Linked DNA regions of Macaca fascicularis. The protein of the gene in region 1 interacts with the protein of each later gene in a biochemical or structural test. Links are inferred from orthologs where the notes say so. Each region holds a gene or a part of one and is shown in the gene's direction. Other genes may lie near its edges.

Region 1 (5,658 bases):
GGCAGAAATCTGGGTGTGACTACCTGGGCTCCCCTGCGCCTGTCTGGCTTGAAGACATCACTTTTGTCCTGGTGGTGGTGGGGAGGCCAAACCAGGAGCACAGAATCAGCGGAAAGGGACTTTTAAAAAAATTATTATTATTTGCAGACAGGGTCTCACTCTGCCACCCAGGCTGGAGTGCAGTGGCAGAGTCCTAGGTCACTGTAACCTTGAACTTCTGGGCCCAAGCGATCCTCCCACCTCAGCCTCCCAAGTAGCTGGAACTACAGGTGTGTGTCACCATACCTGGCTATCTTTGTAAAATTTTTGTAGAGATGGGGTCTCATCATGTTGCCCAGGCTGGGGAAGGTACATTTCTTAACCCTAGGGCTGTGTATACAGAAATCCATTTTATTACTTTTTAAACTGTGCATGTATCTGACATACACTCTTTCCTGTCTGCATTTTTTCACATTTAAAATAAAATATTTTAAAGGGGCCAGGCACGGGGGCTCACACCTGTAATCCCAGCACTTTGGGAGGCCAAGGCGGGTGGATCACCTGAGATCAGGAGTTCGAGACCAGCCATGGCCAACATGGTGAAACCCTGTCTCCACTAAAAATACAAAAATTAGTTGGGCGTAGGGGCAGGCGCCTGCAATCCCAGCTACTTGGGAGGCTGAGGCAGCAGAATTGCTTGAACCCAGGAGGCGGAGATTGCAGTGAGCCAAGATTGTGTCACTGCACTCCAGTATGGGCGACAGAGCAAGATTCCATCTCAAAAAAAGAAAAAAAAAAATAGAGTATTTTAAAGGAAGGGGAAGCAGGCTCTGGTTCCCACACAATCCCCACTCAGTGACACTGGAGCCACCCCTGGCCATGCTCTGCCATCAGAGAACCAAAGCCAGGTCCCTTCAGCCCTAAAGTGGCCATAACCACATGTATCGCCCATGAAATGTCCGAGCATGGCCCAGTTCTGGCTGAGCGGGAGAGGCAGCACAATCAGAAGGCTCCACAGGCATCCACACCCCTCCCTGGGGCTTTCCAAGAGTATCTGAGATGCCTGTAGGGTGGGAGGGAGACATCCTTCCCCTAAACAGACAACCTGCCGCAGCTTCACAGAGGTGAGATTTCAGAGGGGAGCCCCAGGCAGAAAAAGGGACTGAATTTGGGGGCAGGAGGGTCACCACTTCTGGGGTCCTTCGAAGCCCCCGCAGGTGCAGCCCTGGGGGAGAACTCCGACTATCGCAGCCTGCAGTGGCAGTGAGGATGCCCTGCCCAAGGGGCAAGCAAGGTAGGTGATGGCGGCAGCAAAGGGGCGCAGGAGGCCTGGGCCAGGCCCAGTGACCCCACCCCTCAGGCCCTGCCCCCGGGCCTCCCCCTGGACAAATCAGGTTGATTCCCGACCTCCAGAATACCCAGAGAACTGTGCTGCACGGACGCTCTCCCACAAGCCCAATCCCTCACAGCTGCACAAGGGAAGAGGCAAGAAGACCTGAGGGTGGTGGGCAGAGCCAGGCCTCTGTTCCCTTCTGACCAATCCAGGAGGGCTTCCTGGGAGCGGGGTCTCCTCCGCCTCAACTGGATCTCAGCTGAAAGGCCAGCTCATTAGAGACCGCTGTGACCTCCCTTCTGGGCACCACCCCCACAGCCCCGGCCTCCCCCCGGGGTCCCCAGGCCACCTCCTCCTTTGCTTCATCTGTAGCCAACTCCCCGGCATGAGCCCAGGCATGAGCCCGCGCGAGTCACTGCGGCCGCCGGGGCGCCGAGGCCAGTGCGGGGACATAGCAGGCCTCCCTCCTTCGGACCTTCCGCCGAGGCCCCGCGAGTGCCACAGGTTTCCACAGGGCCGGGGCACACGGACCCGCGCAGCCTGGGAGCCAGGGACCCCAATCCCAGCGAAGGGGCGCCTCGCACCCCAGTCCTCACGCGGTCCCCGAGGGCTCGCGGTGACTGCCGGGTCGGGGAGGAGGAGGGTGGCAACCCGGCCCCGCCGCTCCAGTTGCTGCAGCAGCCCCCCGGGCCTCAGTCTCCGAATCTGCCAAACGGGCGTGTGGCAGCCACAAGGTGTCTTTTCGGAAGACTCACAGGCGCAGGCGCAGACGGGTGCGCACCCCTAAGGCGCGCGCGAGCTAGGACCTCGGCCCGGGGCTGGGTGTCCCCGGCCCCGCCCCCTGCAGCCCTTCTGGAGCCAGCGCGTCTGCGTCGCGGGCGCACGGGGGGCGGAGCTCCCGGCGTCTCCGCCTCTTACCCGACGTTCCCCGCGCCCGCAGGCGCTGACGTGGCCGCCGTCAGAGCCGCCATCTTGTGGGAGCGAAACCAACGCCTGGCTCGAAGCAGCAGCTTCTGAGGTGAGGGCGAGGGGCGCGGGTCGGTGTGGGCCGCACACAAGTTGGAGCCGGCGGGGTCTGGGGACTGGCCTCGGGGCGACTTGAGGTTCGCGAAGGGCACCTCGATCCCGGCGGCGGCGGCGGCGACAGGGCCGGGCCGGGGGCGGACGAGGACGGGCCGGGCTGAGGCTGGGGAGTCGGGGCTGGGAGGGCGGGCGGGTCGGTGAGCTCCTCGCGCCCCTCACAGGTTCCCGGAGTCGCCCGCGGCCCCTTGTCCTCCTCTGCCAGTCCCTGCCCCCGCCCGTCGCCCGGAAGTCAGCCGGGACGCCAGGCTCTTCTCCAGGAAACCTGGGCTTCCTGCTTCCCTTACCTCTGCCCCTCACGTTTCCCGAGGCCGCCCGCGCGTGGAGAGTTGGGGTTAGCGGTCTCGGGGGCCGGTGGGGGTTGTGGGGCCTCCTCCACCCGAGTACAGGCTAGCGAGCGGCATCCGGGCGGACCGCTGCCTCGGGGACCGGGAAACTGAGGCTCAGGCGGCCCCAAGACACCGTCAAGGTCACGTAGGTGGTGGGGGCTTGCACCTTCGCCTCCCGACTCCATCCAGTTCGTGTTTCCTCTGAGGAAGGCACTGGGTCAGGGGCGGTGAGAGCGAGCGGGCGGGCAGTGGACAGGGACCCTGCGCCTTTCCCTGTCTGCTGAACGGAATGCGTGGACCTCCGGGGAAGCCCAGAGTGCCTCCCTTCACAACAGTGAGACGCGATTTGGGGTCAGTATGAAGTCTCCGGTGGCTTCCAGAGGGCCGGTCGATGTTCGCTTTAACTCCAGGGTGGTTTCCTTGACGTTGTCGGCAGTAGATAAGAAGGCCTCTTTTGAGCTGGTGAATCTTTAACTTGCCTGCGGAACGACCTGCTCGTAGACTCTAGGCCGCAGAGGCCGGCCCCAGCGCTCTCTCGGGGCACAGCCTGGGTGGTTACGGCTTGTGAGATTGGGTCTGGACAGCCGTGCGCACCTAGAGTGTTAGATAACCATTCCGACGGCACCTCCTGGCGGACTCCCTTTCCGTCCAGGCAGCCAGTTGCTGCTTTGCAGGAATTGAGCAGAAATGCGCTCGGAATCGCGGGCAGAAAAAGAAGGGAGGTCGGAGTCTTTGGATGGTCCCCGAAGTCGCCGCCTAGTTTAGAGCTGTAGAGTTGGTGCCACTGCCCCTATTGGAGTGGGCAGTTGTATTTCTTGTTTCAGAACTAGTGGTCAGCAGTTTTCTCTGCCGCCGGTTGTTGCAAGGCTGGTGGTTCTGTCGTTTTCCGCAGTGTGTTGGGAGGAGTGTGAGATGCCGAGGTGCGGTTGTGTGCGGCCCCTGTGGCCCTCTGCTTTTGCGTTAGCCATTGTCTAACACGTGTGACTGCATGGATGATGTCCTCATTTAATTTGAATTTTCACCAGCACTACCAAGGTAGCCAGAACCATAAGGTCCTGAAATGCCGTACTATTAGCTGGGTCCAAAATTGAGAAGAATTGAGTAGTATAAATGTTAGTATACACATCTGATTGGCCACATTGTTAGAGGTGTGTTGTCCACGTTTTCACATGTTGGTAGACCGGAGAATATCTGTCACTTGTCTTTAGGTGTATCTTGTTGAAAATAAATCCAAATCATTGCAGCAGTAGGAATATGCTGTTGCCTGTCAGGCAGTTTTTCAGATTTGCTAGTTGAAAAAGATTTGAAACAGTTGGTTTGGACAACAGCTGAGTCACAGAATGACTGTGAGTGAAAAGCAAAAACTGGTTCTGTGCCCCTCACAGTTCTGATTTTGTACATCATGTAGTCTAGCTATGCGCTGTACCTCTTGCACAATATGGAGAGGACATTCAGACATCTTCACCTGCTCATCTGCCCCTACAGACTGGACAGGCTTGAAACCATAGCTTCGAAGATGCATTTGGCCTTTCATTTTTCACTTCAGTAAAATTTAATATGGACTGTCAGCTGCTGCAGTGATCATAGAAGTAGACCTAACTAAGAGAAAAAAACCTGTTGTGCAAGTTCACACGCAAAGTATATGACTGTGGTTTCAGAGAGTTGAAGCAGTTTTTTCTAGATTCTTCAAATTAAATGTCTCATTGGTGTATTTAAACCAGCTCTTACTCACAGGCCATGCTCACCAAGCTTTTGTACACACTTCTTCCTGAGCTGTGACCATTCTCTTGAGCAAGAGGCTGCAGCCAGCCTGGGCTGGCAGGCCCATACTGTCTCTCATAGGCATTCTGTCCTCTCCCCCTGACCTTTCACCTCGGTAAACTCAAGAGGGTGAAAGGAAGTAGAGTGCACTGTCAGAGGTAATTGGGAGAGAAACAGGAAAAGGCCTTGCAGTGGGGATCTTAAATTATGAGAACTTGTGTTTTCTGTGTTGTGCCTGCTCCTCATTGGTGTGGTTGGTTGGTAGGGGTATCCTGCCTGTAGCATCTGAAGTGGTCTTTTGGAAAAGGTTTAGCCCCTTCATGTTGGGATTCCAGGATTTGCCCTCATCCTCAGGTTCGTATTTTCCTGTGGTTGTTATAAACTCTTTAAGGCATAGTTGCACTTATCACCTTACAGCTGTGCAGGTGCCCAGCACCGTCTTGGAAGGTAGTTTCACATTCTCAGGTGGGTCAGATGACCTTGTTAGCAACTTGACAGACATGTCCTGGATGTTTTTTGTTCCCAAGAGGCTCTCAGGTCCTCCCCCAGGGTCCTGTCACTCAACCATCTACAGGGATGAGAAGACAGTAAGGCTGGCTGATTAGCCATAATGTCCTTGACTAATCCTGGTTTCCTGGTTCTCACACAGTGGTAACAAGGGCTTGCAGCCGGTTGTCAGCCAACAGACTGGGAAAGGTGGTGCTTCTTACAGGCCCTGATAACAGGAAAAGCCTAAATGACATCAAGAGAAGAGACAGGGAAAGCATAAAAGGCAGATTTTCACAGGCACAGCAATTGGGAATGATTCTGTTTAGAAGGCAGACGTTCTCCCACACCCCGGAGGCCCAGGGCTCACTGTTAGTGTACAGCATGAAGTGAACGGGAGACTTGATTCAGTCCATGAACATTTCAGGAAGTTAGAAGTCTGTAGTTGTGGATTGCAAAATACATATCTGGCCTGCCTCCCATTTCCTGCCATACAACTACTAAAATACTTGGAATCTCCAAAGTGATGATGTCTTTTTGTACCCTAATGAGTTGACCAGTGACGGGCAGCCCCTACGAAACTTCAGGGTAGGGCTAGTCACGGGGCCAAGGTAGGATTAGAGGGTTTCAGCCCCACCCTCCAATTTCCCCAGAGTGGAGAGGGACTGAAGATTGAGCTGGTCACCAGTA
Region 2 (5,862 bases), on another chromosome or scaffold:
TACCTGGAAATGTCAAGATAACATTTACATTTGATTTGCTTGGAGTTTAGTAATATTCACATGTTTACTTTTGTCTTTGTTATCAACAAAGCAGAATGCTGATGCTTACTAAGACAAAAAAAAAATGAGCACAGGCAGTGTGACCCCCAAACCCCAGATTTCACCCTTACTGAGGAGCTGTGTAGTCCTGGGGAAGTGCCCTTTGTCTCCAAGCCTCTGCATCTCCCTAACCAGATGGGCGTTAGGCTATCATTCTGAACCATTCTGACAGATGAATCCCGCCTGGCTCCCACTCTAGAAGTTGGGGGTTCTTGGTTCTTATCAAAGAGGGCTTCTTTATTGAAACTCAAAAGGTAAAATGATTCTGTCTTGGGAACCCCTCCTTACAATGAGGACGTAATAAGAGGTACCACATCCAGAGCCTTTAAAGTTTGAGTAGCTGGTAGGCTGAGGTGTGACCCTATGATGGTGAAAATCATGTTGAGGTCGAGGCCACAGAGGGTGGTCAGGTGTATTTTAAAGTATCCTTTCAAGAAAAATAAAGTGAATCACCTAGCACTCTGATATATTTCATTAAATCTGAATATTAAATTTCAAACTGTCATAAAATCCAGATTTCCTAGGCTATAACTTCTATAACTTCCTTCAAAAGAGAGCTTGCCCAATTCATTTTTATGCCACTTCCAGTGCCGTGAACACAATAGGTACCCCCACAATAAGATTAAAGTAGGGAAAGTTGGCACCTGACAATCCCTGCCTGCAAATAGCATATCCCAAAGTAATGCTTCCCCCTGGCCTGGCCACCAGCACCTTGCCCAGAAACAGCCTGTAGCAAGCTGTAGCATTTCTAGGTCTGGAGAAGGTCGTGTAAGCATGTAGTGTGATCAGGGGACATTGTATTTTTCCTTCTGAAACTTTTTCATCAAGGAAACTCTGAAACAATACATCTGTGTTTAAGACAGCGTGAGGAACTGATAAGTTGATCACCTATGTCTAAATATTGTGTGGCCTGGGATAATATCCAAGACCAGTATCTGTCAGCCCACCAGGTAGGAAGTGGGGGATTTGATGGAAGAGACGTTCAGTTTTCAGTATTAATGGTGAATATTTAGCATGTACACAGAATGCCTGGTACATAGGATTTTAATCAATTTAATCTTCACAAGAATGCTCAAAGTTTAGGAGCTTTTATCGGCGCTCCTATTTTACAGGTGGAAAAGCAGGTGGTTTGTCAGTGGATAAGCCTGGCTTGCGGGCAGGCACGTCTGTCTTCTTGCTCTTAACCACAGTATTTTCCTAGGAGTCTGTCGTCATGGGGAGTAAGTGCTTACCTGTGAGGAATCTTTCCCCAGACATTGGTAAAATAACCCTACGAGATTGTTTTAGAAGCTTTGCACAGAGTATGGATGATATGGTATGGTAGTGTATGGTACCATAGAAGTTTATCTGGGGTGAGATTATTGCTAATTGAAAATGAAAACAAGACAGAATTATGTTAGGAGGCAGATTGTGGCCCTTCATTGGCAGGGCATTGGTGTAAACAGCACCCTCCCCTCACAGTCACATCTCTTTGTTCTTGTCTTCCTGGAAGCCCACTTGTTCCTAGGTGAGGTTGGGGGTAACAGGTACCAAAGATACTTGGTTTTTTAAACGAGTCACATGAGTTGCATCTTCGAGGCTGCATGGTTAGGAAAGATGCCTCATATAAACGCGCAGCAGGTGAGATATGCCCCTAGTTTTGTTTTTGCAGGCCAAGCCCCAAAGTGTGCGTGGTTTTAGGGTGCAGGCTGGTGCTAGGCTAGGCCCCCCGAGGCTCCGGTCCGCGCTGCGCCGATCCATCCCGGCGCTTGGGCCTGCACGCCGCCGCGCTCGCCGCCGCCGCCACCGCGCTCCCGGGACTCCGCCAGCCCGGCTGGGCGCGCGGCCCGCGGTCCCTGCACGCCGGCCCCCGCCGCCCGCCCCGCCCCGGCGCGCGTTTCCATTTTAAACCGCCACCCGCCGCCCGCCGCCCGCCACCCGCCACCCTTCGGTCGCAGCCGGCGCAGCTGTCCGCGCGTCCCGGAGCCCAGGGAGTGGCGGAGGCTGCGGAACCGCCGAGCTGTGCTGCCGGGGCGGGAGGATGCGCACGGGCCCCGCGTCGTAGACAATGAAGCCGCGGGCGCCGCCGCCCGCCCTGGGCCCTGCGCACCGCGGCCGCACCTGCCGGCGAGAGCGCTCTCGCGCCTGACCGGCCGCCTCGCCTGGCCCTGCCGGCCCATGGCTCGGCGCCCCGGGCCCGGACCCCGGCACTCGGGCGGCGCGGCGTACGGGCCGGCGGGTGCCAGGGGCGCCTTCCCCGCAGCCTGAGTGCGGCCCTCGCGGCGAGCGGGGGGCGTGGGCCACACTCCCGGACCGCCTGCCCTCCTCGCCTGACCCGGCGCCCTCCCAGCCCGCGGGCTCGCTGGATGCGGCGGGGCCCCAGTGCGCGGGCGACATGTACTTGTTGGACGGCAGCGGCGAGCCCGCGTCGCCACCCGCGGACGCGATGCCGCGCGGGACGCCTCCCAGAAAGACCGTCTACCGCATCTCCGTGACCATGGTCAGGAAAGAGCAGCTGGCCGCGCCGGGCTCTGGCGGCCCGGACCCGCGCCCCGCTCGGTGGCCCCGGCCCGCGCGCTCCCCGGACGCGCCCGGGCGGCTAGAGGAGGAAGCCGAGGAGGCGGAGGGTGTGGAGGAACCGGAGGGTCGCCGGCCGCGCGCATGGGATTTCCGCACCTTCCGCACCCGCAGCACCGGGCAGCTGGAGCTGGGGCGGCTCCGGCCGTGCGCACGCGGCCTGGAACCCGCGGACCTGGCCAGCAGCGGGCGGGCGGAGGAGGAGGGACGAGGCTCGCCCGCGCCCGGCAGCCCCGACGTGGAGGGGGCCCGGGCCGCGCCCCTGCGGCGGAGCTTGAGCTTCAGGCACTGGAGCGGGCCTGAGGCGCCGCAGGGCCGGACACTGGGCGGCGGGAGGCGCCACAGCAGCTCCGGGAGCCTGGCCTGGGCGCCGGATGACGAGGCCGCAGCCGGGGCCACCCTGGAGCCCGCGGCCGCCACGCAGCCCTCCTCGGAGAAGCGCAACACCCTGGACGTGGGCGAGGTGCTCAGCAAGAACGACACGCTATCGGACCTGGAGCGTTGGGAGCGCAGTAAGAGCAAGAACCGCACGCTAGACAACAGCGACCTGCAGCGGCTGGAGCGCGCGCGGGCGGCGGCCGGGGCCGGCGCGGCCTCGGAACACCGGCTGCTGCGCTTCTTCAGCGGCATCTTCGCGCGCAGGGATGGGGGCCCGGGCGGCGGGCCCTCCCCACGGAGCGGAGCCTCGCGGCCGCGCGGCTACTTCAGCCTGCGGCGGCCGCCAGTCGAAGCGCACTCGTCCAGCGGCGAGAGCATCGACGGCTCCCCGCGCAGAGGTGGGCAGCGTGGCCGGGGGTCCCGGGACGGGAAGGGGCGTGGTGGGGACTTGCTGGCTCCACAGTGGCCATGGAACCCGCCCTCCCGGGTCGGTAGCCGGCACGTGGCCTGGAGAGAAGTGAACTGGGGTACTGCGGTTTTCCCCAGCAGGGCGCAGCGGTCCTGCGTTTTCTGGCTGCCCCTGCGCCTGGCTGTGCGTGCCAGTTTCCCTCGGGGTCCACCACCTTCATCAAGGAGAGCTTGACCCGGGACAGGTCGCCTTGCCAGGCGGCGCCGACCTCCCTCGCGTTCTGGCTGGGCCTTCTGCGGGAGCGGGCCCTGAACTGGCTGCCCGTGACACCTGTGAGGCCGCCCCAGGGAGCCGAGGCTCGCCGGTCGCCCCCGCACAGGTGCCGCTGCCTGGGTGGGAAAAGCCGGCATTCATCCTGGCCCCCCTCCCTGCCTGCAGTCGTCTCCCTGTTGGTGCTACCATCTGTGAATGCTGTGGTGGGGCCTCAGATGACTCCGTGGCCCTCGGTATTGAGCTGGCTGTGAGGACACTTCACTACAGTGGTGAGGCGCAGGGCGGGACGGAGGCCTGTCTCCGCAGCTTTCCTGCCAGGTGGCATCTTAACGTGGAGAGCGAGTCTGGGACCGGATCTGTTTCCTCGTAATGTAGGCTAGCAAAGGGGCAGGAAAACTGCAGCCCTGCAGCCTGTTCTGAAACCTCAGGTGTCTGTTCCCTTGTGTCCTCTGACAGGGACTTTGCAGGGAGGGATCTCCAGCCAGATATGGTATTCCACTGCAGGAATCAGTTAACCTTTTGGTAGGTAGCATTTGGGGGTCAGAGCCTCCAGAAACTTCCCTTCGTGTATTCTCTTAAAATATTAGAAAGTAATGCGTGTTATTTTGTTAAAAGAATTGGTTTGCACGAAGTTGCTCCTGTCATCATTGGCGTTCAGAGGAAGTTAAGACCTGAAGGTCCCAGTTCTCTGATAGCAGGCTTGCATCTTTGTTCTGTGGACTTTGAAGAAAACAGTAATTAGCTGCATTGGTTCCAGACGAGTTTGTATCAGAGCGAGAAAGAGAAAGGCACAGACATGATTTAGAGAGGATGCGTTTCGTTGTGGTCCCTCTTGATACAAGTTAAAAGCATTTGGGGTTTGGGTAGTTCCTCTCTGGTCAAATGGATTGATAGTAGATTTGGAGTAGTAAGGGGGTGACGTGTGTTGGAATGTTTATAGTAATGCTCAGTTTGTTCTTTGTGGTCAGTCCTTCTCTGGGTGGAATTACTTTGGTCTGAGACATAATATTAGTAGCATTGTGAGTTGTATAGAAAAATGGAAATTTAATGAACTACATTACAGCACATATGGTCAGAACTCTAGGGCCTCACTTTTTTCTGAAGTTCTAAGTAATCGCGTACTCAAAAAAGCTACATGTTTCACCTGGATAAATTCTTTGCCTTTGGCTAAAATGTCTGAAATATCAATATTCTTAGGATTTTGGTGATACCAGTGTCTATTACAGGTAAAAGTTATAGTCCCCACAGGTATCACAACCTCTCATTTTATTACACTTCTCCAGTCTTTACATGTTTGCTTCCTGTGACATAAATTATTCAGAATTTAGGTGCTGTATAAGATTTTGAATTTAGATGAGAGTCTGTAAGGTAAGAGTCAGATGCAATAGAGCCCAAGCTTGGTTTCCCTGTAAATGTCCATAGGATGCAAGTCCCCAAACCACTGGGGACAGGTGAGTTTGTAGAACTCGGAAATTTTGGATCTGAGGAAGGTAAAATGGTGTGTGTTGTAGAACACTGCCTGTGAGGTCGGGTGGCGCCCTGTAATAACATACTAGTATTTTGCAGCAAAGCCTGAGATATCCACACTCAGTGAAATAAATAGTGATTAAAAATAGCCTCATGCCAGTTAGGTTAGAGTCTGGTTTTGCCACCAAAATAATTTGCCAACCATTTATGAAAAGAAGTTCCTTCCATTCTCAGACCTTTTTGGATTTTAGATTGACAGCTAAACTGTCGTAGATCTGCAACATGATAAGCATCATGAGAAGCACCACTGGCTTTCTCTGCATCTTGGCCATAATGTTTAAAATTTAGAGTCCTTGAAAATATAAAGGAAATTAAAAATGACATCAGCTTGTGCAGGTTTTCCTTCTGTTAGAATCTTTCCATCTTCTTTAAAACAGCTAAGTAAATTTTTGAATTGGCTACAGGAAACTAAAGACTAAGTAATTATTGCATTAAATAGTCTATTTGGCTTCCCAGCGTTAAATGCTTAGGCAAGGTATTTCCATTAGCACAGGGAAGCAAGATGGCTGGAATCTTATTTTAAAGCACACACGGGCTCCTACATATGTGTGCCTTTGGTTTGCCTGTATTCTGAACTCAAGGCGTTAAGGATGAAAGGATTGGAACACCTACCTTTTGTA
Region 3 (5,919 bases), on another chromosome or scaffold:
ACCCTGTCTTTACTAAAAATACAAAAATTAGCCGGGCATGGTGGTGGGCGCCCGTAATCCCAGCTACTTGGGAGGCTGAGGCAGGAGAATCGCTTGAACCTTTGGGGGAGGAGGTTGCAGTGGGCTGAGATCATGCCAGATCACTCCAGGCTGGGCAAAAGAGCAAAATTCAGTCTCAAAAAAAAAAAAAAAAAAAAAAAAAAAAAAAAAAAAAAGAAGGGCCATAGTATGAGAGGACAAGGGGGGACGTGAGGGGAGCCAGGGAGGAAGAAAAGGCTTCTGAGATGGGAGAAGGAATCAGAGGTGGGAGGACGCTGAGGAAAGGGGAGTTGTCTTAGCGGGAGGATGCTTGGGGAAGGGAGGAGTCTTAGGAGGATGCTAAGCTAAGGGGAGAAGTTTGGAGAAATGAGGGAGGAGTCTGAGCGGCAGAAGGTACCAGGAAGGCTGAGCCTGTGCTTTCACGAAATTTGATCTTCCCCTCTTCCATTCTCCATGACCGATACCAGATAGCATAGCATTTAGAAAAAAGAGTAAATCTTGGCCAGGCGCGAAGGCTCACGCCTGTAATCCCAACACTTTGGGAGGTCAAGGTGGGTGAATCACTTTAGGTTAGGAGTTTGAAACCAGCCTGGCCAACATGGTGAAACCCCGTCTCCATTAAAAATACAAAAATTAGCTGGGCGTGATGGTGCATGCCTGTAATCCCAGCTACTCGGGAGGTTGAGGCAGGAGAATCGCTTGAACCCGGAGGCGGAGGTTGCAGTGAACCGAGATCGCGCAACTGCACTCCAGCTTGGGCGGCAGAGCAAGACTCTGTCTCAAAAAAAAAGAAAAAGAAAAAACCTTCCGAAGAAGTCTTTCGTTTCACCACTCCACGACTCCGAAGAGGCTGAGGGGGATGGGGAGGGCATAGATGGTCGTAAGGAAAGGGTTTGGAGGTAAGAAGGGACTGAGAGGGGAAATACACGGAGAAGAAAAGCAAATAAAAAGGAGGCCGAAGGCTGCTCCCGGTTGCATGGCAACCTCTGCAGTCAGAAGCCAGCATGGCCTGCTAGGAGGTGTGGCTTACGGAAACAAGCCAGTTCTAGCCCCGCCTCCTGGCAACAAGATTAACCAAGTACCGCCCCCTAGCAACGGATTATTGGAGGCGGGGTTCGGTTTACTTAGTCTCCAAGTGTCCAGGGCCTTTGAGCAGGCGCAGAGATGTCTGTACCGCGTAGGTCCGCCTCCGCGCAACACCTTTCTGGGGCTTCCCATTGGAGAGCAAGCCTGTCAAGTGCTTTCTGTTGTTTCGGAGGCGGGGCCTGCTGCCCTGCCTGCACTCCGATTGGCCCCGCGGGCCGTCTACCTCTGGCCGGACATACCGACATCAGCTTTTTGTACGACTGTTGGCCCTGGAAGACGATCCTTTGGTGGCGAGGGCGGGGAGGACTAAAGCGCCCACTGTGGATTGGACGGTGTCAAAAAGAGGGGCGGTCCCTACTGAAGGGGCGGTTGGGCGACCAAGGGAGAGTCTTTTCAGCGCTGAGGTCTGGCGCTGAGGAGGCGGCGGTGGCTCCCGGGGCGTTTGAGCGGGCTCACCCGAGCCCGCGGGCCAACGCGGATCCAGGCCCGACCGGCGGGACCGCCCCGGACTCCCCGCGGGCCTTCCTAGCCGCCATGGAGGACGGCGTCTATGGTAGGTCGGGGAGGGGCGGGGTCGGCTGGGAGCTGCTGGAGCGTTTTCTCCTGAACGTTCCGCCGCGAACGTTTCCCCCTGGAGCGCGCAGCCCAGAAGCTTTCGGCCCAGTAGTAGACTTGTCGCGCCGCTTTTGTGGGGCGCTGGACGGGCTTCCGGCGGGGCCCGAAAGCGGGGCGTTCCAGGCCATTGTTTGGGCTGATCCTGTTTCCGGTGGCGGCGGGAGGGGCGGGATGGAGCGGTGGAGGCGAGGCCGGGGCGGAACCATTCCCGCTGGAGGGGCGGGCAAGCCCAGCGTCTGCCGGGGCCGGGGAGGGGCGCTCGGGTTGCGGGGAGGGGAGAAATCTTGGGGGGCGGGGGCCTTCGATGTCCCGCCCCGTCTTCCCAACTCTCCCGAGCTGTCATCAGCTCCCGCGGCCGTAGTGACTGTTCATGGACCCAGGAGTCCGGATAACCAGGTCCCCAGCTACCTCGCCAGTAATGGAGTCAGAAAACCAAGGCCTCAGTCCCCTTCCAAGTAATGGACCTAGAAGCTCAGGCCCCCAACCCTTTCTTCCCTCACACCTAAGAGCTCAGGCACCTATTCCCCTTCTCCTTCAGACTCTGGAATCCGGGCCCCAAGTCCCCTCCTCCCCCCAGGACTCAAGAGTTTAGAGCCCCGGCCCTTCTCTGCACGGAGGAATCCAGGCCCCCAGCGCAGTCTTCTGTGCAGACATGGAAGGCCCTTATGCATCCTCTCCCAGCTCTGTCCGCCCCCAGATTGCAGGAATTCAGGCTCATGGTCCCCAGCACTGACTTTTAAACCGTGACCCCGACCCCTAGAACCCCCAGACCTGACTCCAGAGGAGCGGATGGAGCTGGAGAACATCCGGCGGCGGAAGCAGGAGCTGCTGGTGGAGATTCAGCGCCTGCGGGAGGAGCTCAGTGAAGCCATGAGCGAGGTGGAGGGGCTGGAGGCCAATGAGGGCAGGTGAGGGCTGGGGCGGGTGACCTGGGGGGCGTGGGGTTGACTGAGGCCAGGAATGCCCAGGCATTGACCCCCCATCCCCCACCCTGCTCTCTGCTCCTGCAGTAAGACCTTGCAGCGGAACCGGAAGATGGCAATGGGCAGGAAGAAGTTCAACATGGACCCCAAGAAGGTGCTTGGGGCCACAGGACTGGGATCCGCTGGGCAAACATCCGGGCAGGGGCTTCTGGCACCTCCGGGTTCCAGAAGCGTGATGGTTCCGGGTCTATTCTAGGTGGACAGACTTGGTCCTAATCCCTGGATTCAGATACTGGCTGTCCATTTGTTCTCTGAACACTGACCAAGTGTTCCAGGCCTCCTGACGCTTATGTTTCGTCCCCTGCCCTGAAGGTTGTCTTCCACTTTCTACTTGTATGGGCGCACTTCTAGTGCCAAGATGAGCTCGAGTCTTGTAGGGCTGTAGACAAAGTGATATGCACAAAGGAGAGTTGACCTCCCTCCTGCAAAGGTGCCATGACAGAGGGAGGTATCAGGGTAGTAGATTTCTGGAGGAGGCAGGCTGGTGGAGTCAGGGAGGGCTTCCTTGAGGAGGAGACATTCAGGTCGGGTTTGAAGGATGAGTAGGTGTTCACTAGGTGGAGGAATGGCTTTTGTTCACTTACTTTTTTTTTTTTTTTTTTTGTGAGACAGAGTCTTGCTCTGTCACCCAGACTGGAGTGCAGTGATGTGATCTCGGCTCACTGTAACCTCCCCATCCCATGTTCAAGCGATTCTCCTGCCTCAGCCTCCCAAGTAGCTGGGCTTACAGACTCCCGCCACCATGCCCAACTAATTTATGTATTTTTAGTAAAGATGGGGTTTCACCATGTTGGCCAGGCTGATTTCAAACTCCTGACCTCAGATGATCTGCCCACCTCAGCCTCCCAAAGTGCTGGGATTACAGGCATGAGCCACCATGTCCGGCCTGTTCACATACTCATTTAACACCCGTTCTTTTTTTTTTTTTTTTTTTGAGACAGAGTCTCACTCTGTCGCCCAGGCTGAAGTGCCATGGAGCAATCTCAGCTCACTGCAAGCTCTGCCTTTTGGGTTCACGCCATTCTCCTGCCTCAGCCTCCTGAGTAGCTGGGACTATAGGTGCCCGCCGCCACGCCTGCCTAATTTTTTGTATTTTTTTTTAGTAGAGACGGGGTTTCACCGAGTTAACCAGGATGGTCTCGATCTCCTGACCTCGTAATCCGCCCGCCTTGGCCTCCCAAAGTGCTGGGATTACAGGCGTGAGCCACCGTGCCCAGCCTTTAACACCCATTTTCTGAGGCCTCTTGAGAGCCTGATCCTGTGTAGGGCAATGCTGGGGACCCAAAGAAGAATTAGATGCTGCCCTGTGCTCAGCCCCTGGACATGGATACCCCAATTCAGAGTGAGATATGGCAGCAGTAGAGAGGGCTTCATAGCACAGAGAGCGAGAGAAGCCTCCAGTCTAGCAAAGGCTTGGAGTTCACAGCCCTTGAGGGACTGCGTCTGCTCAAGGTTGTCACGTTATTCTTTCCTGAAGCAGTTGGAATTCTGTTCAGTCATTCAAAACACATTTATTGGCTGGGTTCCGTGGCTTATGCCTGTAATCCCAGTGCTTTGACAGGCCTAGGCAGGAGGATTGCTTGAAGGCAGGAATTTGAGACCAGCGTGGGCAGCATAGTGATAACTCATCTCTAGAAAAAATAAAAATAAATAAATTATCCAGGTGTATTGGTACATGCCTATAGTCCCAGCTTCTCAGGAGGCCGAAGGGAGAGGATCCCTTGAGCCCAGCGGTTCGAAGCTGCAGTGAGCTGTGATCACGCCACTGCACTCCAACCTGTGCAGTAGAGCGAGACCAGGTCTCAGAAAGAAAAGAACATGTACTGAGCACCTGCTCCTTGCCAGACCCTGTTGTTGGTGCTGGAATTAACCAGGCAAAGGCAGAGAGGGTAGGCCATGAGGTGCAAAGGCCATGAGTTGGGAAGAATCCTATTTAAGACCCTTGAGAAGGCTGAAAGTGAAACCTGGCCCTGGTCTGTTGAGGGTGGGGGTAGGTCTGGATGCTGAGGTTCCCAGGGAGGTGAGGGGGGTGGCTTTCTGGCTCTCAGCACTGAGACCTTGTCCCCACTCACCAGGGGATCCAGTTCTTGGTGGAGAACGAACTGCTGCAGAACACACCCGAGGAGATTGCCCGCTTCCTGTACAAGGGCGAGGGGCTGAACAAGACAGCCATCGGGGACTACCTGGGGGAGAGGTACGGCCACCACCACTCAGCTCCTGTGGGGCCCGCCCCTCCCGCTACCTGCGCCCAGCTCCTGCCCTCACACCGGCAGCTCGCAGGTGGAACAGCCCTGCAGCCTCCCCACAGAGAGGCCCTGGCAGATGCGTCTTCTGACTGGACTGTGACAGAATGGACGGACACGGGCTAGGGGAGCCTGCGGCCACCCGAGAGCATCTGGGGATGCGGGGCCTTCTGGAATTACCTGGGGGTTGTGGGGAAGCATCCATTTATATCTGAGAAGGGTGGAGAGCATCTCTCAAGGGTCATGGGAGCATGAGAACAGGGGTAGACCATGGCTGTGCATGGGCACTGGGTTGCCATCTGGGAGCTGTGGGGACCATTGGGCCCTTGTGGGGAGCCTAGGAGTTGTGGGGGTCATTTGGAAGCCTAGAATGCATGGGACTGGACATCAGATGGTTGGAGGCCATCTGTAGACGTCTGGGAATCAGGGATTTACAGAGATCTGGGGTGCGTGGGAAGCATCTCTGGATGTCTGGGGGAGATGGGGACTGTGTCTGGATACCTGGGGAGCGTGGGGATCGTTTGAGAGAGGTGACAGTAGGTAGCATACGTGTTTGCGGCATTTCTCCCAACTGTACAAAGGTCCGGCTGAACCTGGGTTCCCAAGCCATATATTCCTCCCAAGAGTGTGTTCTGAGCATCCCCCACCGTGGGGGCAGGCCTGTGTGGGAGCCCAGCAGGAAACTTCACCCTCCGCAGAGGGCAGCTGTGGTGCAGTAGAAGGGGCACGACTTCCCCAGGGCCTTGCCTCCTGCCCACTCCTGCTCCATCCTCTCCAAACTGCATTGACTTTGTCCTGTCCTTCCAGGGAAGAGCTGAACCTGGCGGTGCTCCATGCTTTTGTGGATCTGCATGAGTTCACCGACCTCAATCTGGTGCAGGCCCTCAGGTGAGTGACCGGGAGGGGTTTGGAAGGCCAGGAATGTACCTGTCAGGGCCTTCCTAGTTACAAGT
Region 4 (5,184 bases), on another chromosome or scaffold:
TAAATTTCAACCCATAAAGCTGTCTCAAAGAGTGCCCCAGGTAAGCTCTGCACGCCTTCCAGATGTGCACACAGCCGTGTGCGCCGTGGCGCTGTGGGAATTCACGTCTGCACACAGCCGTGTGCGCCGTGGCGCTGTGGGATTCACGTTTGCACACAGCCGTGTGCGCCGTGGCGCTGTGGGATTCACGACTCCGTCTGCCCACAGAGGTGCTGTCTCCCCTTCCCCAGAGTTGCCCATCTACCTGTGGCACTGGCCCTGCCACCCTTGAACTGACCCCTGTCATGGATGCATCCCACGTCCCACTGCAGGGAACATCCCGGGTGAGGTGACTGGGTAGCACGAGGCCTCCCCACCTCACCTGGAGCCCCGGAGCCCCGCCAGCCAGGTGTTTCTGGCAGAAGGCTTTGCACTTCGGGCAACTCCAGCTTGATTCCAGGCCCTCGGTCCTCTTGCCCCACCTCTCGCCTCTGCCTCCTGCTGACGGGGAGAGTGCAGAGCCCACTGCAGAGGCCTCTCGTGGTGCCCATGAGGCTGGCATTGCTGGGTTTCAGCACCTGAGCCTGAACATCCGCTCAGAGCTGAAGGCCACCCTGGCCTCAGGTGCTCTCGGGTGACGTGAAGGCGCTGCCCACATAGGCCACATGGTTCTGGGGGTGCTGCTGGGGTTCCCTCAGACTTCACCCAGTTTTGACCTCACCAGCCTTTGATTCTTGGTTTCAGAGCCTCTGGCCAGCTGCAGAGTGTGACCGCCTCCTCGGACAAGGCTTTCGAAGACTGGCTGAATGATGACCTCGGCTCCTATCAAGGGTAAAGACTTGAGAGCTGGGGATGCCTGGGGAAGGCCAGACCCACGGGGTTCAGTCTGCTGGGTAGGGCTGCTTCCCTCGGGGCCTCCCGTGTGCAGTGGGTGTGGGACCCGTACGTGCCGGTGCAGGGTCTGACTGCAGTGAGCCCCGGCTGCCCACCCGGGTGTGGATTGGGGGTCTTGGGTGTAGAGAAGAGCTAACACTTAGAAGAAAAGCATAACACATTTTCTGCTTGGAATTTGCTGGACCTATACGTGAATTTTTATCCCCAAAGCTGTCATATTAAGTTGTTTTGATCCTTCTTCCAGTACTTCTATGACTGGGTTTGGGGACTTGCTGGGGACCCTCTCTGGTGATGTGGCAGGAGGGTCTTTTTAAATGAGCAGGAAGCACGTCTGTCTGCTGCTGGGGAGCTGCCAAGGCTCCTGCTGCTACGGGAGGCAGCGTGCATGTCCTGTGCTGGGGGACGCTGGCACATCCCTCAGAGCCTCAGCCTCACCTCTGTTCAGGGCCCCACACCTTCAGGAGGAGCAGGGTTCACGCCAGCATCTTCAGCCTCTTGTCCGCTTTGTTTTCAGAGCCCAGGGGAATCGCTACGTGGGGTTTGGGAACACGCCACCGCCTCAGAAGAAAGAAGATGACTTCCTCAACAACGCCATGTCCTCCCTGTACTCGGTGAGGACTTGTGGGCCCTGCAGAGCATCTCCCATGGGCAGACCCGGACTGAGGGCACGCCGGGCTGTCGGGGGCAGTGTGGCAGTCCTGGAACACGTGCTCTTGGCCTTGCTGTGATCTAAGGACCCCTCCCTTACCTTCAGTGACGTTTTCTTGCAAAAATGTGGCTTAAATTTTTCAGATCCCAAATTCAGTCACTTCTTTTTTTTTAAAAGACGGAGTCTTGCTTTGTTGCCCAGGCTGCAGACTGGAGTGCGGTGGCGCATTCTGGCTCACTGCAACCTCTGCCTCCCAGGTTCAAGTGATTCTCCTGCCTCAGCCTCCTGAGTAGCTGGGATTATAGGCACCCACTATCACGTCCAGCTAATTTTTGTATTTTTAGTAGAGATGGGGTTTCACCAGGTTGGCCAGGTTGGTTTCAAATTCCTGACTTCTGATGATCTGTCCACCTCAGCCTCCCAAGGTGCTGGGATGACAGGAGTGAGCCACCGCACCCAACCAACACTTACTTACTTCTGACACAAAATGTGTGTATTTCAAATCTAACAGCGGACGTTCTTCCAAGGAACCCAAGGGCTCTGACGGCAGCCACTTGGCCGTGTTCTCTGCAGAGGGAGTGCTGTGTGCAGTGGGAAGCTGGCTCTGTGCTTGGGGGTCTGGCCGTGCTGGGAAGCCGCTCGGGCGCTACCCGAGGTCACTCAGGGCCACCTCTGGTCTGGGGGTGCCTGGAAGCTCCAGGTCAGATGTTCAGAGTAGGACACCCTGGGCTTGTTGCCATTTTCCTATTAACGGAAATACATGTTGTTTGATTTTCATTTTCCAAGGAAATTTTTACCTTCTTTAAAATGATTAAAAATGATTAAAATGATTAAAAAATGATTCTTGCAGGTGTGATGGCTCACGCCTGTAATCCCAGTACTTTGAGAGGTGGAGGCGGGCGGATCACCTGAGGTCAGGAGTTCGAGACCAGCCTGGCCAACATGGCGAAACCCCGTCTCTATTAAAAAATATAAAAATTAGCCAGGCAGGGTGGTATGTGCCTTGTAGCCCCAGCTACTAAGGAAGCTGAGGCAGGAGAATTGCTTGAACCTGGCAGGCAGAGGTTGCAGTGAGCCTAGATAGCACCATTGCACTCCAGCCTGGGCGACAGAGTACGACTCCGTGTCAAAAAAAAAGAAAGATTTTTATTCATCGCAGCATTATTGTCTGTGACACTAGCAACCTGAGACTCTGGCCACAGGGGCCGCGTGAATGGGAGCTTGCGCGGAGAGCCAAGGAAGGACTTGTTTATTTATTTATTTATTTATTTTGAGACGGGTCTTGCTCTGTTGCCAGGGCTGGAGTGCAGTGGCATATTTATAGCTCACTGCAGCCTTGAACCCTGGGTTCAAGCGATCCTTCCACCTGGGCCTCTTGAGTTGCTTAGCTTCCCAAAGTTCCAGTATTACAGGAACGAGCCACCATGCCTGGCCAGAAAGGATTTTTTAATACTAACATGACAAGATCTTCAAAGTATGTTAGCTAAAAATAAGCAGGTTTAAAACGGATGGCTTCATCTGCAAGGAGCCCTGCCATAGAGTCTTGGGAGCCCCCAGGTGTGTGTGGCTTCCAGTTGCTCGGGATGGCCTGGCTGCACCTCGGGCCACTGACGGCCATGGTTGCTTTCTCTTGCAGTCATTGCTGCGTCGTTAGGAAAGAAAAGTGCATTTTCCAGCCTGTGTGTGGCCCTTTTGCTGCCTTTTGCTGGGCATCTGCTTTCTGGGGAAGGCAGTTCAGCTTAGTGATCTCTCAAGTGAGGGTCCCTTTGTGTTTCCTTTAGGAGGAAGAGGATGAGTTGTGATTGAAATGAGACATTTATTTTTCTAAATAGCTTTAATTATCTCGGGAGACCCAGGAGGAAACCCTGAGCATAGATGAAGGAGAGCAGGTTACGGCGGTCATGACCCCACACGCCTCACCTTTTTCTGTTCCTCTGGGGAGGCAGGAGGAAGCGCCAGCCGTGGGGAGGAGAGCAGGTTAGAGCAGGTTACAGCAGTTGTGACCCCACATGCCTCACCTCTGCCTGTTCCTCTAGGGAGGCAGGAGGGAGCGCTGGCCCTGGGGAGGGGTCCTGCCCTGCAGTGTGGGCTTGCTGCTTGAGGGTGGTGGGATCCACAGGAGGCTGGATTGCACCGTGTTGGGAGCACTGCAGTTGGCGAGGTTGGGGTAGAGGGCGCGTGTCCGTTGTGCCCTGGGTCCATTTGTATTGCTCCAGCAGCCTGGCGAAGCAGGCGCTGTGGGGTCAGGACAGGGCAGGGGCCTGGTCCTCGTCCTTGCTGAGATGCTCTGCTCAGCGCCGGGTTCCTGGGTCCCAGTCCTGATGCAGCTGCTCTTTGTCGCCTTCCTCAGGGCTGGAGCAGCTTCACCACTGGAGCCAGCCGGTTTGCCTCAGCAGCCAAGGAGGGCGTAAGTCACTGTCCCCACCAGGCCCTCAGGACACCGGCCGCTTGCTGGTCTGTGGGGGCCGCTGCCTCTCAGAGCGTAGGAGGGGGCTGTTCCCGCCACGTTGCTCCCCTCCTCATGCCAGGGTGGCTGCCTCATGTACCCGCTCAGGGCCTGCGGGGCCAAACTCGTTTCCTGTTCACTGGTAACTGGTGCAGGTGTGCAGCCACTGCGCTGGCCACCTCGTTCTGGGAGCTGCAGAAGGGATGTGGGACACAGAGGGTTTCTGGGTGCTCCAACCATGGGCTGTGCCAACGCAGTACCAGCCAGGGTGGTCCCAAGGCCTTGGAGGTTCTGCAGGAACACAGCAGCCCAGGCTGTCAGGAGCCGCTCCTGTGTCAGACCAGCTGCTGGCAAAGGGGTCCCGCCCTGATGAAAGTGAGGGAGATGTGAGCCCCATTGATTCCTAGACTCCACCCTAACCAAGCAGGGCAGGTCTCGGGTGCCCTGTGCCCTAGAGCTTCTGGGGCTCAGGTCGTGTTTTGGTAGCATTTTCTCTCTTTCGCCGCTTCTCAACCTGAAACGGGAGGATTTGGGGCTTTCATCAGGGCAGACAGTGGAGCATTAGGCAGAGACCCAAGAGCAGGCCTGGCATCAGGATGGGGTGTGGGCCCCCGGGGGCTGGGCTGTGGTGTGAAAGGAGAAGGGGAAGCCCAGAGCAGGGCAGCTGGGTGCCTGCAGCTGCCCAGACAAGCAGCCAAGGCACCCAGTTTAGGGCTCTTATGAGCAGAAGTCACGGTGCGCGCCTGTCAGATGTCCCCATGGTCACCCTGGCCCCGTGGCTTCCCCAGTCACAGTGCGCACCTGTCAGAGGTCCCCGTGGTCACTCTGGCCCCGTGTCTTCCCTGGGAGAGGCAGGCCTGGGAGCACCCTGGAAGGGGCAGCAGGCCAGGTGTCCAGGCTCCAGCTCTCATGGCCCCGTGACTTTGCCAAGTGTGAGGTTCTGGTTCCCGCCAGGGCCTCCGTTTTGTGTCACCACGGGAGGGCTGCGGCCTGGGGAGGCCCAGGTACCTTCCAGCCAGTGTCACGGCTGGGCCTTTTCTCCTCCCCCAGAGCGTAAAAGTGACCGAGGTGGCTGGACTGTGCTTGGCATGGAGCTGCCCCCGCAGCGGGGTAGATGAGCCTGGGGCAGTGGCACCACCCATTGAAGACAGTGCTGGTGTGGCTTCCCCAGCCTGTCCTCTGCTCCAGCAGGTCCCCGCCCTGTCCTGAAGTCTGG
Region 5 (5,184 bases), on another chromosome or scaffold:
CCCAGGGTAGGGGGCCTTCCTTTTGCCAGACTCTAGGACTTTTGCTTGGTTTTTGTTTTTGTTTTGGACAAGGTCTCCCTCTGTCACCCAGGCTAGAGTGCACTGGTATGATCTTGGCTCATGTCAACCTCCTGGGCTCAAGCAACCCTCCTACTTCAGCCTCCCGAGTAGCTGGGACCACAGCCACCACACCCAACTAATTTTTGTATATTTTGTAGAGATGGGGTGCTGTTGTGTTGCCCAGGCTGGTCTTAAATTCCTGAGCTCAAGTGATCCACCTGCTGCAGCCTCCCCAAGTGCCGGGATTCCAGGCATGAGCCACCACACCTGGCCACCTCCAGGCCTCTTCTTTTCCTCCAAGCCCCATCTCCAGTGTTTTCAGGAACCAGAGCACCCAGCCTCCCAGCTCTTACCTGAACCTCATCCATCCTTTCCACAGTTTTGCCGTTGCCTATTCTCCAGCCCAAGATGCAGCCAACAGAGAGATGCCCTCTCTACCCCGGGCAGGTCCTGAGGGCTCTACCAGACATGCAGCCAGCAAACAGGTGGGACCAGATGCCAGGTCCTCTGGGAAGGCATTGGATGTGCAAATGACTCTGGTCCCATCTGTCTTTTTCTCTCTCATCTCCACTTTAGAAATACCTGGAGAATTACCTCAACCGCCTCTTGACCATGTCTTTCTATCGCAACTACCATGCCTTGGTAAGGTCCAGGAGCTGATTTTAGATGTGGAGCAGGATCATCAGACCCTCAGGGGGAGGAGGGCCAGGGGCCCCAGGGTCTGAGGAGCTGAAAGCCAGGTATCTCCTCTGGCCTTTTGTTTTCCTCTGCAGACAGAATTCCTGGAAGTCAGTCAGCTGTCCTTTATCCCAGACCTGGGCTGCAAAGGGCTGTGAGTGTCTGGCCCCCTTCACCCAGGCATCTGTAGACATCCCTCTTAATTTCTCCCTGCCTGAGAATGGGGCAAGCAGTGCAGGGTGGGCTGGGGGTCTGGAGTCCTCATCCAGCCTCTCTTCCTGATTGCCCCACAGGGAGGGGACGATCCGGAAGCGCTCAGGTGGCCACCGCGTTCCTGGCCTCACCTGCTGTGGCCGAGACCAAGTTTGTTATCGCTGGTCCAAGAGGTAAGGGCTATGGCCCAGCAGCTGGGCAGTGGGTGGGGGTGAGGAATAAAATTTCGAGGGCAGAGAGGAACACAGGGAGCCCTTCTGCTCTAGGTGGCTGGTGGTGAAGGACTCCTTCCTGCTGTACATGTGCCTCGAGACGGGTGCCATCTCATTTGTTCAGCTCTTTGACCCCGGCTTTGAGGTGCAGGTGGGGAAAAGGAGCACGGAGGCACGGTACGGAGTGCGGATCGACACCTCCCACAGGTGAGGCCTCCCTGGGGTGAGAGACACCGGCTGAGTGGTGAGCCAGCCTGCAGCCCTGCTGGGGGTTGAGTAAGAGAGACCACAGTAGAGAGGAAGGCTGTTCCACCTCCCGGGATCCGGACATAGTTTTGAACCAGGGAACTGGTCTAGCCAGATGCTTGGGACTGCTCTTAGAGACTGGGCCCAGAGAAAGGGGATTAGTAGAAGCCCAGGAAAGGAACTGCTGACATAAAGGAAATTCCATTTGTTCATTTGTTCATTCAACAAACCTGAGTGCCTGGTACAATACTGGTTGCTGATACAATACTAGGCTCCAACTGTGAGTAAGGTGGATACGGCCAGGCATGGTTTCTCATGCCTGTAATCCCAGCACTTCGGGAGGCCGAGGCGGGCGGATCACCTGAGGTCAGGAGTTCGAGATCAGCCTGACCAACATGGTAAAACCCTGTCTCTACTAAAAATGCAAAAATTAGCCAGGCGTGGTGGTGCTGGCCTGTAATCCCAGCTATTGGGGAGCCTGAGGCAGGAGAATCGCTTGAAGCCAGGGTGCAGAGGTTGCAGTAAGCAGAGATCGCACCACTGCATTCCAACCTGGGGGACAAGAGCTAAACTCTGTCTCAAAAATAAATAAACAAATAAGGCAGATACATACACGCCCTGTCTCTGTGGAGTTGTGATTAGGGACCAAGGGAGGAAGTGAGAAAGAAAGGGGAGGTCTCTGGGCAAGATCATATGTATGGAGGGCGAGGATTTATGGTCCATCTCATCGTTCCCATCCAGGTCCTTGATTCTCAAGTGCAGCAGCTACCGGCAGGCACGGTGGTGGGCCCAAGAGATCACTGAGCTGGCACGGGGCCCAGGCAGAGACTTCCTACACCTGCACCAGCATGACAGCTACGCCCCATCCCGGCCTGGGACCTTGGCCCGGTGGTGAGACACTGACATCCCTTCTGTGGCCTTCTTGACCCCCTGTCTCTGAGTCCTTCACCCTCTCTTTTATCTCCTCTGAACCCTTCTGACCTCAGCGATCCACCCTGTGACTTCCTTAATCTTCTTTTTTTTTTTTTTTTTTTTTTTTGAGACGGAGTCTCGCTCTGTTGCCCAGTCTGGAGTGCAATGGCCGGATCTCAGCTCACTGCAAGCCCCGCCTCCCGGGTTCACGCCATTCTCCTGCCTCAGCCTCCCGAGTAGCTGGGAGTACAGGCGCCCGCCACCTCGCCCGGCTAGTTTTTTTTGTATTTTAGTAGAGACGGGGTTTCACCGTGTTAGCCAGGATGGTCTCGATCTCCTGAACTCGTGATCCGCCCGTCTCGGCCTCCCAAAGTGCTGGGATTACAGGCTTGAGCCACCGCGCCCGGCCCTTAATCTTCTTGATCTTTGATATCTTTAACCACATTGATCTCTCTGATTTCGCTCTGACCTTTCTGACCCTCAGACTTGGTCATCTCTTCTGACCCTTGACGTCTGTAACCTCCTGTAACTTTTTAAACCCCCCTGTACCATACTGACCCTCTCTGTTCTCTATGATCTTCTCAAATCTGATTTAGTCCTTCATTTAACAAACATTTTCCTTTTTTTTTTTTTTTTTTTTTTTTTTGAGAGTTTTGCTCTATTGATCTCAGCTCACCGCGCCCGGCTATAAACTTCTTTTTTTTTTTTTGAGACGGAGTGTCGCTCTGTCGCCCGGGCTGGAGTGCAGTGGCCAGATCTCAGCTCACTGCAAGCTCCGCCTCCCGGGTTCACGCCATTCTTCTGCCTCAGCCTCCCAAGTAGCTGGGACTACAGGCGCCCGCCAACTCACCCGGCTAGTTTTTTGTATTTTTTAGTAGAGACGGGGTTTCACCGTGTTAGCCAGGCTGGTCTCGAGCTCCTGACCTTGTGATCCACCTGCCTTGGCCTCCCAAAGTGCTGGGATTACAGGCGTGAGCCGCCGCGCCCGGCTATAAACTTCTAAAACAGCCAAAACCGATCCACAGCGATGGAAATCAGATCAGCAGTTGCCTGTGGCAGGGTACGGGGCAAAGATTGTCTGGGCAATCAAACGGGGCACACGAGGGAACATTCCAGGACGATGAAAATGTCCTATATTTTGATAGGACTGGTGATTGCATGGGAACAGCGTACACTTGCTGATCCTCATGCAACTATACGAGATAAAGAAAATGCAGAACAGTCCAGGCAGAGAAGACAGAAATAGCTCAGGGCGTTTGGGAACCACCAGGACATATTGTTGTTACTGAGTGAGGAGGAGCAGTCAGAGGAGAGGCTGGGAGTCAGTGGCAGCTGATCTCACAGGCTCCCGTGTGCTAATATCACAGGCACAGGGCAGTCATGGACGGAGGTTGTTTTTGTTTGTTTGGTTGGGTTTTTTTTTTTTTTTTTTGAGACGGAGTCTCGCTCTGTCGCCCAGGCTGGAGTGCAGTGGCCGGATCTCAGCTCACTGCAAGCTCCGCCTCCCGGGTTCACGCCGTTCTCCTGCCTCAGCCTCCCGAGTAGCTGGGACTACAGGTGCCCGTCACAGCGCCTGGCTAGTTTTTTGTATTTTTTAGTAGAGACAGGGTTTCACCGTGTTAGCCAGGATGGTCTCGATCTCCTGACCTCGTGATCCGCCCGTCTCGGCCTCCCAAAGTGCTGGGATTACAGGCTTGAGCCACCGCGCCCGGCCTTTTTTTTTTTTTTTTTTTGAGATGGAGTCTGGCTCTGTCGCCCAGGCTGGAGTGCAGTGGCATGATACCGGCTTACTGCAGTCTCTGCCCCCCGGGTTCAAGCGATTCTCCTGCCTCCAGCCTCCTGAATAGCTGGGATTACGGGCATGCACCACCATGCTCAGTTAATTTTCGTATTTTTAGTACAGATGGGATTTCACCATGTTGGCCAGGCTGGTCATGAACTCCTGACCTTAAGTGATCCACCCGCTTTGGCCTCCCAAAGTGCTGGGATTACAGGCATGAGCCACCTCGCCTGGCCTTCCTACATATTTTCACATGTGCAGGCATGTGTTACTTTTGTTTCAACATAAATGAGATCATGCACCCTCTTCTGTGACTTATTTTTTCACTTAATACATGTGTGAGAGATTAGATACTTAGATTATTTCCCATTTTTCATTCTTACACACAATGCGATGAACATGATCTTTGCCTAAGCATTGTGTAGGTTGTATTCCTAGATGTAAAATTACTGTGCATATTTAATGATATTAAAGGCTATGTGCATTTAATATTTTGATAACTGCTGGCCAGTCGCTGTGGCTCATGCCTGTAATCCCAGCACTTTGGGAGGCCGAGGCGGGTAGATCACTGGGGTCAGGAGTTCAAGACCAGCCTGGCCAACATGGCAAAAACCGTCTCTACTAAAAATACAAAAATCAGCCAGGCATGGTGGCGGGTACCTGTAATTTCAGTTACTTGGGAGGCTGAGACAGGAAAATTACTTGAACCCAAGAGGCGGAGGTTGCAGTGAGCCAAGATCGTGCCATTGCACTCCAGCCTGGGTGACAGAACCGGACACCATCTCAAAAAAGCTATATATATATATTTTTTTTTTTCTTTTTTGATACTGCCAAATTGTCTCCTAAAAGTTATATTCCCGTAGTCTATGAGAATACCCACTTCCCCAGCATACTGAATATTCCCCAGCATATTGAATAACATTCTGATATGCTAATATGCTGATATTGAATGTTACTAATGATTTTAATTATTACCCATCTAATGGATATTTTCAATGTAATTTCATTTTAACTTCTTCGTTTACTAGTGAAACAGAACATCATTTGCCACAACTGGCCATTTTAATTTCTCTGTGAACTGTC

The links.
Region 2: of the proteins of ARF1 (region 1) and AGAP1, one has a biochemical effect on the other in vitro, tested with the Homo sapiens proteins (2 studies listed by BioGRID, with this or other methods). The link is inferred for Macaca fascicularis from reciprocal best matches to the Homo sapiens genes ARF1 and AGAP1.
Region 3: the proteins of ARF1 (region 1) and CYTH2 are reported together in a solved structure, tested with the Homo sapiens proteins (3 studies listed by BioGRID and IntAct, with this or other methods). The link is inferred for Macaca fascicularis from reciprocal best matches to the Homo sapiens genes ARF1 and CYTH2.
Region 4: the proteins of ARF1 (region 1) and ARFGAP1 form a complex in vitro, tested with the Homo sapiens proteins (2 studies listed by BioGRID, with this or other methods). The link is inferred for Macaca fascicularis from reciprocal best matches to the Homo sapiens genes ARF1 and ARFGAP1.
Region 5: the proteins of ARF1 (region 1) and PLD2 form a complex in vitro, tested with the Homo sapiens proteins (2 studies listed by BioGRID). The link is inferred for Macaca fascicularis from reciprocal best matches to the Homo sapiens genes ARF1 and PLD2.

Annotation. Positions count from the first base shown.
Region 1 is NC_088375.1:85,990,731-85,996,388, forward strand, and holds the start of ARF1 (ADP-ribosylation factor 1), read left to right. Parts: upstream 1-2,262; 5' UTR 2,263-3,010; coding exon 3,011-3,072; intron 3,073-5,658. UniProt on the Homo sapiens protein: Small GTPase involved in protein trafficking between different compartments. Modulates vesicle budding and uncoating within the Golgi complex. In its GTP-bound form, triggers the recruitment of coatomer proteins to the Golgi membrane.
Region 2 is NC_088386.1:131,579,841-131,585,702, forward strand, and holds the start of AGAP1 (arf-GAP with GTPase, ANK repeat and PH domain-containing protein 1), read left to right. Parts: upstream 1-2,371; 5' UTR 2,372-2,473; coding exon 2,474-3,431; intron 3,432-5,862. UniProt on the Homo sapiens protein: GTPase-activating protein for ARF1 and, to a lesser extent, ARF5. Directly and specifically regulates the adapter protein 3 (AP-3)-dependent trafficking of proteins in the endosomal-lysosomal system.
Region 3 is NC_088393.1:56,460,854-56,466,772, forward strand, and holds the start of CYTH2 (cytohesin-2), read left to right. Parts: upstream 1-1,944; 5' UTR 1,945-2,110; coding exon 2,111-2,195; intron 2,196-2,500; coding exon 2,501-2,648; intron 2,649-2,750; coding exon 2,751-2,817; intron 2,818-4,798; coding exon 4,799-4,917; intron 4,918-5,773; coding exon 5,774-5,854; intron 5,855-5,919. UniProt on the Homo sapiens protein: Acts as a guanine-nucleotide exchange factor (GEF). Promotes guanine-nucleotide exchange on ARF1, ARF3 and ARF6. Activates ARF factors through replacement of GDP with GTP.
Region 4 is NC_088384.1:119,392,430-119,397,613, forward strand, and holds part of ARFGAP1 (ADP-ribosylation factor GTPase-activating protein 1), read left to right. Parts: intron 1-723; coding exon 724-810; intron 811-1,387; coding exon 1,388-1,484; intron 1,485-3,872; coding exon 3,873-3,929; intron 3,930-5,184. UniProt on the Homo sapiens protein: GTPase-activating protein (GAP) for the ADP ribosylation factor 1 (ARF1). Involved in membrane trafficking and /or vesicle transport.
Region 5 is NC_088390.1:4,911,242-4,916,425, forward strand, and holds part of PLD2 (phospholipase D2), read left to right. Parts: intron 1-439; coding exon 440-545; intron 546-636; coding exon 637-702; intron 703-833; coding exon 834-892; intron 893-1,031; coding exon 1,032-1,124; intron 1,125-1,217; coding exon 1,218-1,370; intron 1,371-2,150; coding exon 2,151-2,300; intron 2,301-5,184.